2 linked regions of the Nothobranchius furzeri genome follow. The protein of the gene in region 1 purifies or fractionates together with the protein of each later gene. This does not show direct contact. Links are inferred from orthologs where the notes say so. Each region holds a gene or a part of one and is shown on either strand. Other genes may lie near its edges.

Region 1 (3,518 bases):
CTAACACACTGAAACCATGCATCTGGTTTGTCTGATGTAATTGCTGTCCATATCACACACACACGGTGTTTTAGGGTTTGAATCTTGTCTTTAGCTTCAGCCTCTGTTAACCGAGGTCAGCTGTTGGTTTCTACCTAAATTCATTCATTCATAGTAAAGCGCTGGATTAAGTCCTCTGAACGGACCAGGTGTTCACTGAGAGACACAATGATGTGAATTACAGTAAATGTGTTATCTACATTCACCCTTTCATCAGTACCAGGGTTGTTTATATTTAAATTAATGCTGTCAGGTAAAGTGCTGATGTCATGGAGTGTGTGACCAATCGTGTGTTCTGGTCTGAAGTTTGGTTTTAAACACAGTAAATGTGTGATCATGGTCAATGTTGTTGTTTGTGTTTAACACTAACCCAGACTAACTGTAGCCCAGATTAACTATAACCCAGGTTAACTGTAGCCCAGACTAACTATAACCCAGGTTAACTGTAGCCCAGACTAACTATAACCCAGGTTAACTGTAGCCCAGACTAACTATAACCCAGGTTAACTGTAGCCCAGATTAACTATAACCCAGGTTAACTGTAGCCCAGATTAACTCTAATCTGAAGTGACGTGTGAACAGGTCAACAGGCAGGGTGCTTGCTTCAGTGTGGGTTTATTAGGAAGCAGAAAGGAAAACTGACAGGAAAACCTGGAAAAGTCCAACAAAAAACTCCACAAAGCCAGAAAAGCAGCTTTAACCTGAAGTCAGTTCAACTCTGTCAGCAGAGACGTTCTGGTTCTGGTTCGGTTCTACTGGGCTCGTGTTGTTTCTCTGGTTTATTCAGTAAAGAATACTGCATCAGAACCGGTCTGGGATCTGATCAGAACCGCTTAACCAGAACAAAGTCCGTTTTGATTTATCCAGAACTCTCAAGCTACAGAGCCGACACAGGAAGTCCAAATGGACCGAACCATGATGGTGTAGAGAAAAAAACCTTCACGAGCTACATATACAATCCATCAAGAGTCCCGGACGTATTTACACCCCCACCACCCCTCCAGTCAAAGATCCATACGCTGGTTCTGGTGGGTTCGGTTCTACTCCACCACCAACTCGAACTCCTCGGCCTCCCGGAACTCCGCGTTCATCTGAGCGGCCAGATGGTCCAGCTCGGCCGAGTCAATCTGCGGCACCTTCCGCCTCCTCCTCCGCTCCTTTGACACCGACACTCCGGGGATGTTCGGGTCCGGTTCAGCAAAGCCCTCGTCGGTCGATTCAGTGAAAGACGTGATGGGTCCAGAAACTTCCAGAGCGTCCCTGGTCTGCTTGGACTTCCGGACAACCTCCGGGGTCCTCAGCCTCTCGAAGCCGAATAACGTTTCTCTGGAGTCGGGGCTACTGTGGAGGGAACTGTCGCTGAGCCTGCTATAGGACCGGCGGGCTTTCTGCGCACACACGCCGGCCTCTGGTTCAGCAGCCGGCTGCTGGGTCCGACAGGAGTCCGGTGGGGAGGACGGGAGGATCCGTGAGGGCATGGGCGCCTGCTGCTTCTTCCTCGCGGCGGAGGAGGAGGCCCTGCGGTCCGGGCCGGGATCGGGGGTTGAGACTTTGGTCTTCAGCTGCTGTACCTGCTCGGAGTGCCTCGGCGTGTTCTCCTTGTTGTGTTTAGACGAAGCGCTCGTTTTTCTGGGCGCTATTTTCCGCACGGTGATGGAGCGTTTAATTCCCAGCGCCATCTTCTCACCTCCCAGCGGAGCTTGCGGAGAACTGAACCGCGGCGAGCGTCTTCGCTGCGGCCCGAGAGGACCGTTAGCTCCCGCCATCGCCCCATGAGGCGAGCCTTCGTCCATGCTGAAATCTGCCCACTAACAGCGAATTATTCACTCGGTTTCGATTGAATCTCCTCCGGTTGCTCAAACAACGGCGCCACTTTCGAAATTACCCGCTCGAGTCGCACGGTGATGACGACAACATCATCGTGACTCTAACAAGCCGCGCCAGTGGAAGAGCAAAGTTTTTGCTGTGTAATCCGGACGCTTGACGCTCATACTTGACTGCTGTCTCACCTGATTTTCACCGTTATTCCGTGTTGGTTCGGTTGGAGACGATGGAATATTTAATCGGTATACAGGGACCGGATTTCGTTCTCGTCGCAGCCGATAATGTGGCCGCCAGCAGCATCATTCAGATGAAACACGGTGTGTTAGCTACCTAGCTTAGCATTAGCTCTTCTCTCATTTGATTCTGTTTCTGTTTGTCAGACGCGTGTCTGCGTATAAGTCTTTATATTTTAGGATTTGCTGTTTCATTCTAACGCATTAATGACCATTTGTCACATTTTATTTGCCAAAGGAGATTAAAAAGTAAGACAATAAAGCCATTACCGGCCAATGAGAGGTACGATGAGCCTTTTAGAAATCAAACTTAGCTTCTGAGTTTAGTTCTGAGCTTTAGGATGTTTATATGCTTTATTCTAGCCTGCTAAATCTCGTGGTGAGCGACCCCGGCGGTGAAAGTGAAAGTCCGGTTGTGTTCAACAGAAACCAAATCAAACTGGTTCTGATCTAAAACAGTGCACATGTGTTACTGATCGTTGTTTAAAGTTAGATGTAAATGAATCTGATCTGAAGGGATGCTTCAGTCCAACCTCCTGGTTCTTTTTCAAAGTGATGTTTTCTCATCACTCGCCTGAATCCGGACCTGGTTTCTGTTTTTGGGGCGACTGGTGCTGACATCTGGCTTTTTTCAGAGGATGACTTTCACACTGAGTTTTGTTCTTTGGTGTCTCAGATTATGACAAAATGTTCAAGCTGAGTGAAAAGATCCTGCTGCTGTGTGTCGGAGAGGCCGGAGACACGGTGCAGTTCGCGGAGTACATCCAGAAGAACGTTCAGCTGTACAAGATGAGAAATGGTATGATGTGGTTGTGGCGCTCTTCCTTAGTTTCACCGTTTGTCACCAACAATTACTGATGCTTGTTTCCTGGTTTTAGGTTATGAACTCAGTCCAACAGCAGCAGCAAACTTCACACGGAAGAACCTTGCAGATTATCTCCGGAGCAGGGTTGGTATTCTGCACCACCGCTTTAAACAACTGTAATTATAATAATCTGTAAAAGTACGATTTTTACCGCTGGGGTGAAAATCCCGGTTTTTCTTGACTCCAGCGATGAGTCGGCTAAACCGCTGGCTGTTGAACCAGGTTTCTGTCCATGTTTTAGAAACGGCATGTTGCCCAGCGCTGCGCTAGTAGGAGGAAGCTGAAAACTTTGTGTGACATGTTTTCAGCAGTAAATCCTGTTGGATTGGGACTTGTTGTTGATGACCTGTTTTAGCCGACCAACGGTGTAACATTTACTTGTTTTCTATTGACCCTTTGCACCAACGCCACCTAATCACGTGAGTCGACCATATTGGTCTGCAAAAGCACGTGAACAGTGAGCGACACGAGTACTAAACAAGGGGAAATGTGGAGCCTGAAATTGTGTTTCATTGTAGTTGTTTGTTGCCACATTTAGCGTTCCTTCTACTGGTCCA
Region 2 (3,829 bases), on another chromosome or scaffold:
TACCAGTTCTTCAACCAGGTGCTGATGCTGGGAAAGACATCTGTCAGCGATCTGTCTGAACACGTCTTTGACCTCATTTTGGAACTTTACAACATAGACAGTCACCTGCTGCTCTCTGTTTTGCCGCAACTGGAGTTTAAACTGAAGGTACTGAACAAAACATTTTAAATTTTCCTACACTTTAGCTGAATCTAACATTTAATATATGTTAGTTGAAGACAGGAAATCTAGTTTAGTTTCATAATTTCTGCACACTGAAGCCGCTGCCGTTTGTTCTGAAACGGGTTTGTGAGTTTATTCATGCTGCAAGATAACCTGGATTCTCTGAGCCATTACCCACAGAACTGCATTTGTCCGTTTTCTCTGCAGGTTTGTTGATTCATATAACAAAGATAAAGCATTCAGCATTATGTTCCCTCTGCAGCATCTCATAACGGTGTCCTGCTGATGGATAATGCTCATTAACTGTTCAGAGGGAGCGTAGATCACTGCTGCCTCCACAAAATAATAGCTGTGATAAAATCTCACCGTCTCAGCACACGCTCACTGTCCCCTTTTCCCTCTCACACACATCTTTTCTTATTGTTTCTTTTCTTCTTCCTCTTTTCCCATTTTCTTTTCTGTCATTCCGACTTCGCTGTGGAAACAAGACTAACGTTAATAAAACTGCAGTAATTGCGTGTTATGAGAATGGAAGTCGTTAATGGTGTGGTGCGCCGGTCCAATTGACGCCGCCGCATTTGGTGCTTCATTTCTCTCTCCGTCTGTCTCTTCAAACCCCGTCTCTGCAGAGCAACGATAATGACGAGAGGCTGCAGGTGGTGAAGCTGCTAGCTAAGATGTTTGGAGCCAAGGACTCTGAGTTAGCCGCACAGAACAAACCCCTGTGGCAGTGTTACCTGGGCAGGTGAGTTTCAGACGCTCTTTTGATGTTGACAGACTTTTAAAGGGTTAAGGAAAAGTTCAAACTCTCCTTATGTGTTTATTGGTCAGTCACTTTGTTTATTATAAGGCTTAGACATATTTGTTTGTATTTTTTGGGAGTTATGTGTTTTACTTCTCTAATGTACTTTGTATCAACTAACTGCCTTATTGTGTAGTTTTGTTCCAAATACTCAAGGATTACTTTGTAACTTCAGTATTCTTTTATCTGATGGGTAATTATCAGTCTTATGAGACCAATGGGTACATTGAAATTGTATCTAACCCTGCATTATATGCTGTTATTAGGGATGTTGGACAATACTATCGGTCTAACGTTAATATCGTCCGAAATCAGCATAAAACTTTGATGTCAGAAAATAATATCGATTTTCAGTCTTATAATGACACAACTTTGATATTCACATATTGTACATAACACTCTTTTGCTACTTCTCCATCTTAAAATGTCAAAATGTAACAGCTCTGAGGTTAAGCTTTGAGATATTTTAGTTTATTTGGCAAAACTAGTAGAAATGTGCCCTCTGTAGTGAACGTGCGCTGTCCTCACAGCACGGAGCTATGTGTAGCTAGCCCGCTAACAATAAAACAAACACGAGTCTTCACCCAAGACTCGCTTTTCTTATCTCAAGATCTTAATAAATGTTTTATCACCGTAGCTGCAATATGCCGAAAAATAAAAAATACGTTACTAATAAAGGTCGACCGATATAGATTTTTCTATTGCTGCGGCAGATGTTGATCTGTAGGAGACATGGTCAGGCGATGGCTGAAATACTGCTGAACTAAAACAAACTAAAAAGAAAAAGTACTAAAAGATGGCATTAGAATGTCAACACAGCAAGAACACACCAAAGATACTGCTGAATTTTATAGGCTGATATCTAGACCTTTTCCACATAGTTTAACTAACTGTTAAATCTTAACTTTGTGCACTGCTCAGTGTTAAAGTCAGACACCTACATAAAGTTAATTTAGAGTATTTATTATGCAAATGTTATTAGTGAACGTAAAAAAACATTAAAATTAAATTCTGCAACATTACCAAGCTACCTGAGCACGTGCCTGACTTTAATTCAGCTTCACTAAGGACAAATATCAGCTGATGCTGGTATATAAAAAACAGTAAATATCGGCCAACCAATAAATCTGTCAACCCTTAATTACTAACTAATAAAAATATCTCAGAGTCACACTTTGGGAGATTGAGATTCCGCTGCTATTGGACACAAAATAAATAAGGCACTTTTCCTATTATTAACTAAAGTTTAATAAAAGTTTAAGCATGCATTGGAGGAGATAAGTGATGTTAGTAACCTGAAATGTTTTTCTTTTTAATACGAGAGGAGGACACAGCACAGGTCAGCATCGGGAATTAAAAAGCAGGCATTATTGTGTGTGTGTGTTTGTGTGTGTGTGTGCGTGCGTGCGTGTGTGTGTGTGTTTATTGCCAGACTTAAAGTCCATTTTAAAAGAAAATAACATAAAGATAAAAGAAACAATACAAGAAAAACACAAGAAAAGAAAAGATACCAGTTAACATTAATACCAATAAGATCCTATATAAAATCACAGGATATAACTGCAGTGGGCGTAAGGGACAACAAAATTAACTAGTTGTGATAAATCTACCCAAACATTTTGGCCAGTGCATTCTCAGCCTAGACATATAACGAGAGCAGCGCACAGTGGGATTTGAGAGTGCAACTATAATACTACTGGAAGATTCTTCCAGCCGTCTCATAAACTTGAACATTACATTTCTTAAAAATGCCTTAAATGTGCACACTCTCACAGAAACAAACATTTGACAAGCACTTCCTCCCCTAGGAATTTTGAGGAGGATTCTCATTGCATCATTGTATGCCACTTGTAACCTGTGCAAGCGCGACTTTTTATAGAATGACCACAGATGTGCAGTATATAGTGGTGTTCAGTATGCTTTAAATGACGCCACTTTAACAGGTGTGGAACAACAGCTAAATTTCTGTGCAATGGTGTTTGCTTGCACATATAGCTTTCAGCACTACCTGTAAATCTCATCACCGTCGCTCATGTTGGCTGTGATTAAGTGTCCAAGATATTTTATCTTTTCACAGACCGCAAGACTTTTGCTGGACAACTTAAACACAGGAAAATTAAGCCTGGTTCTGTAGATTAGAACAGCACTTTTGCTCGAGTTATATTTTAAATCATATTCCTTTCCATACTCGGTACTAACATCTAGGAGCTGTTGCAGTCCTGCACTACTTGAGCTAAAAACTATGAGGTCATCTGCATACATAAGGTGATTAATCAAAACATCACCTATCAAACAGCCTGTGTTACAAGCTCTCAGGCGTCAAGATATTGTGTAGGGTATCTGTAAAAAAGCCAATAAGGAGCCTCTAGTTGTGATATTAAACGATACAAGAATATTCAACAGATGACTCGAATAACACTAAGTTATGATGCACTGCTGCCATCTGGTTGACAAGTAACCTGTTGGTGTTTCATGCACCACAATCAGTAAATTACATTCTTTTGGGTCAAATCAGCAATTTATTGCAACAAGATTAAATCATAACTGTTAATGCATTAAACACTTTTGTCAAACAACTCCAAAGTGCACGATAATGTCTGACTCACTATTCAAAGCATTGTGTCATTGGCAGAGTGGAGACATCTTGAACAAAAATGGTCTTTTTATGCCCCTGAGGGTCCAATTAATGTAATATAATAGTGTCTCACACCCACAATCTAATATAAAACACAGCTGAAAACCTTCGAAAACTCCTTTTAAATCTTCATGTATTGACGGGTAAAAAGCGCCGCCCCATTTTCTCACATTTGTAGGTTGTTGATTGACGCATCACATGCCTGGTGCTGCTTCCTGAGTCTGCTTCCA

What was found.
Region 2: the proteins of cdca5 (region 1) and pds5b purify together in Homo sapiens (affinity purification with western blotting; 4 studies listed by BioGRID and IntAct, with this or other methods). This does not show direct contact. The link is inferred for Nothobranchius furzeri from reciprocal best matches to the Homo sapiens genes CDCA5 and PDS5B.

What each region holds. Positions count from the first base shown.
Region 1 is NC_091759.1:26,797,037-26,800,554, forward strand, and holds cdca5 (sororin), read right to left. Parts: upstream 1,833-3,518; coding exon 1,080-1,832; 3' UTR 638-1,079; downstream 1-637. UniProt on the Homo sapiens protein: Regulator of sister chromatid cohesion in mitosis stabilizing cohesin complex association with chromatin. May antagonize the action of WAPL which stimulates cohesin dissociation from chromatin.
Region 2 is NC_091750.1:61,975,011-61,978,839, reverse strand, and holds part of pds5b (sister chromatid cohesion protein PDS5 homolog B), read left to right. Parts: intron 1-6; coding exon 7-147; intron 148-791; coding exon 792-907; intron 908-3,829. UniProt on the Homo sapiens protein: Regulator of sister chromatid cohesion in mitosis which may stabilize cohesin complex association with chromatin. May couple sister chromatid cohesion during mitosis to DNA replication.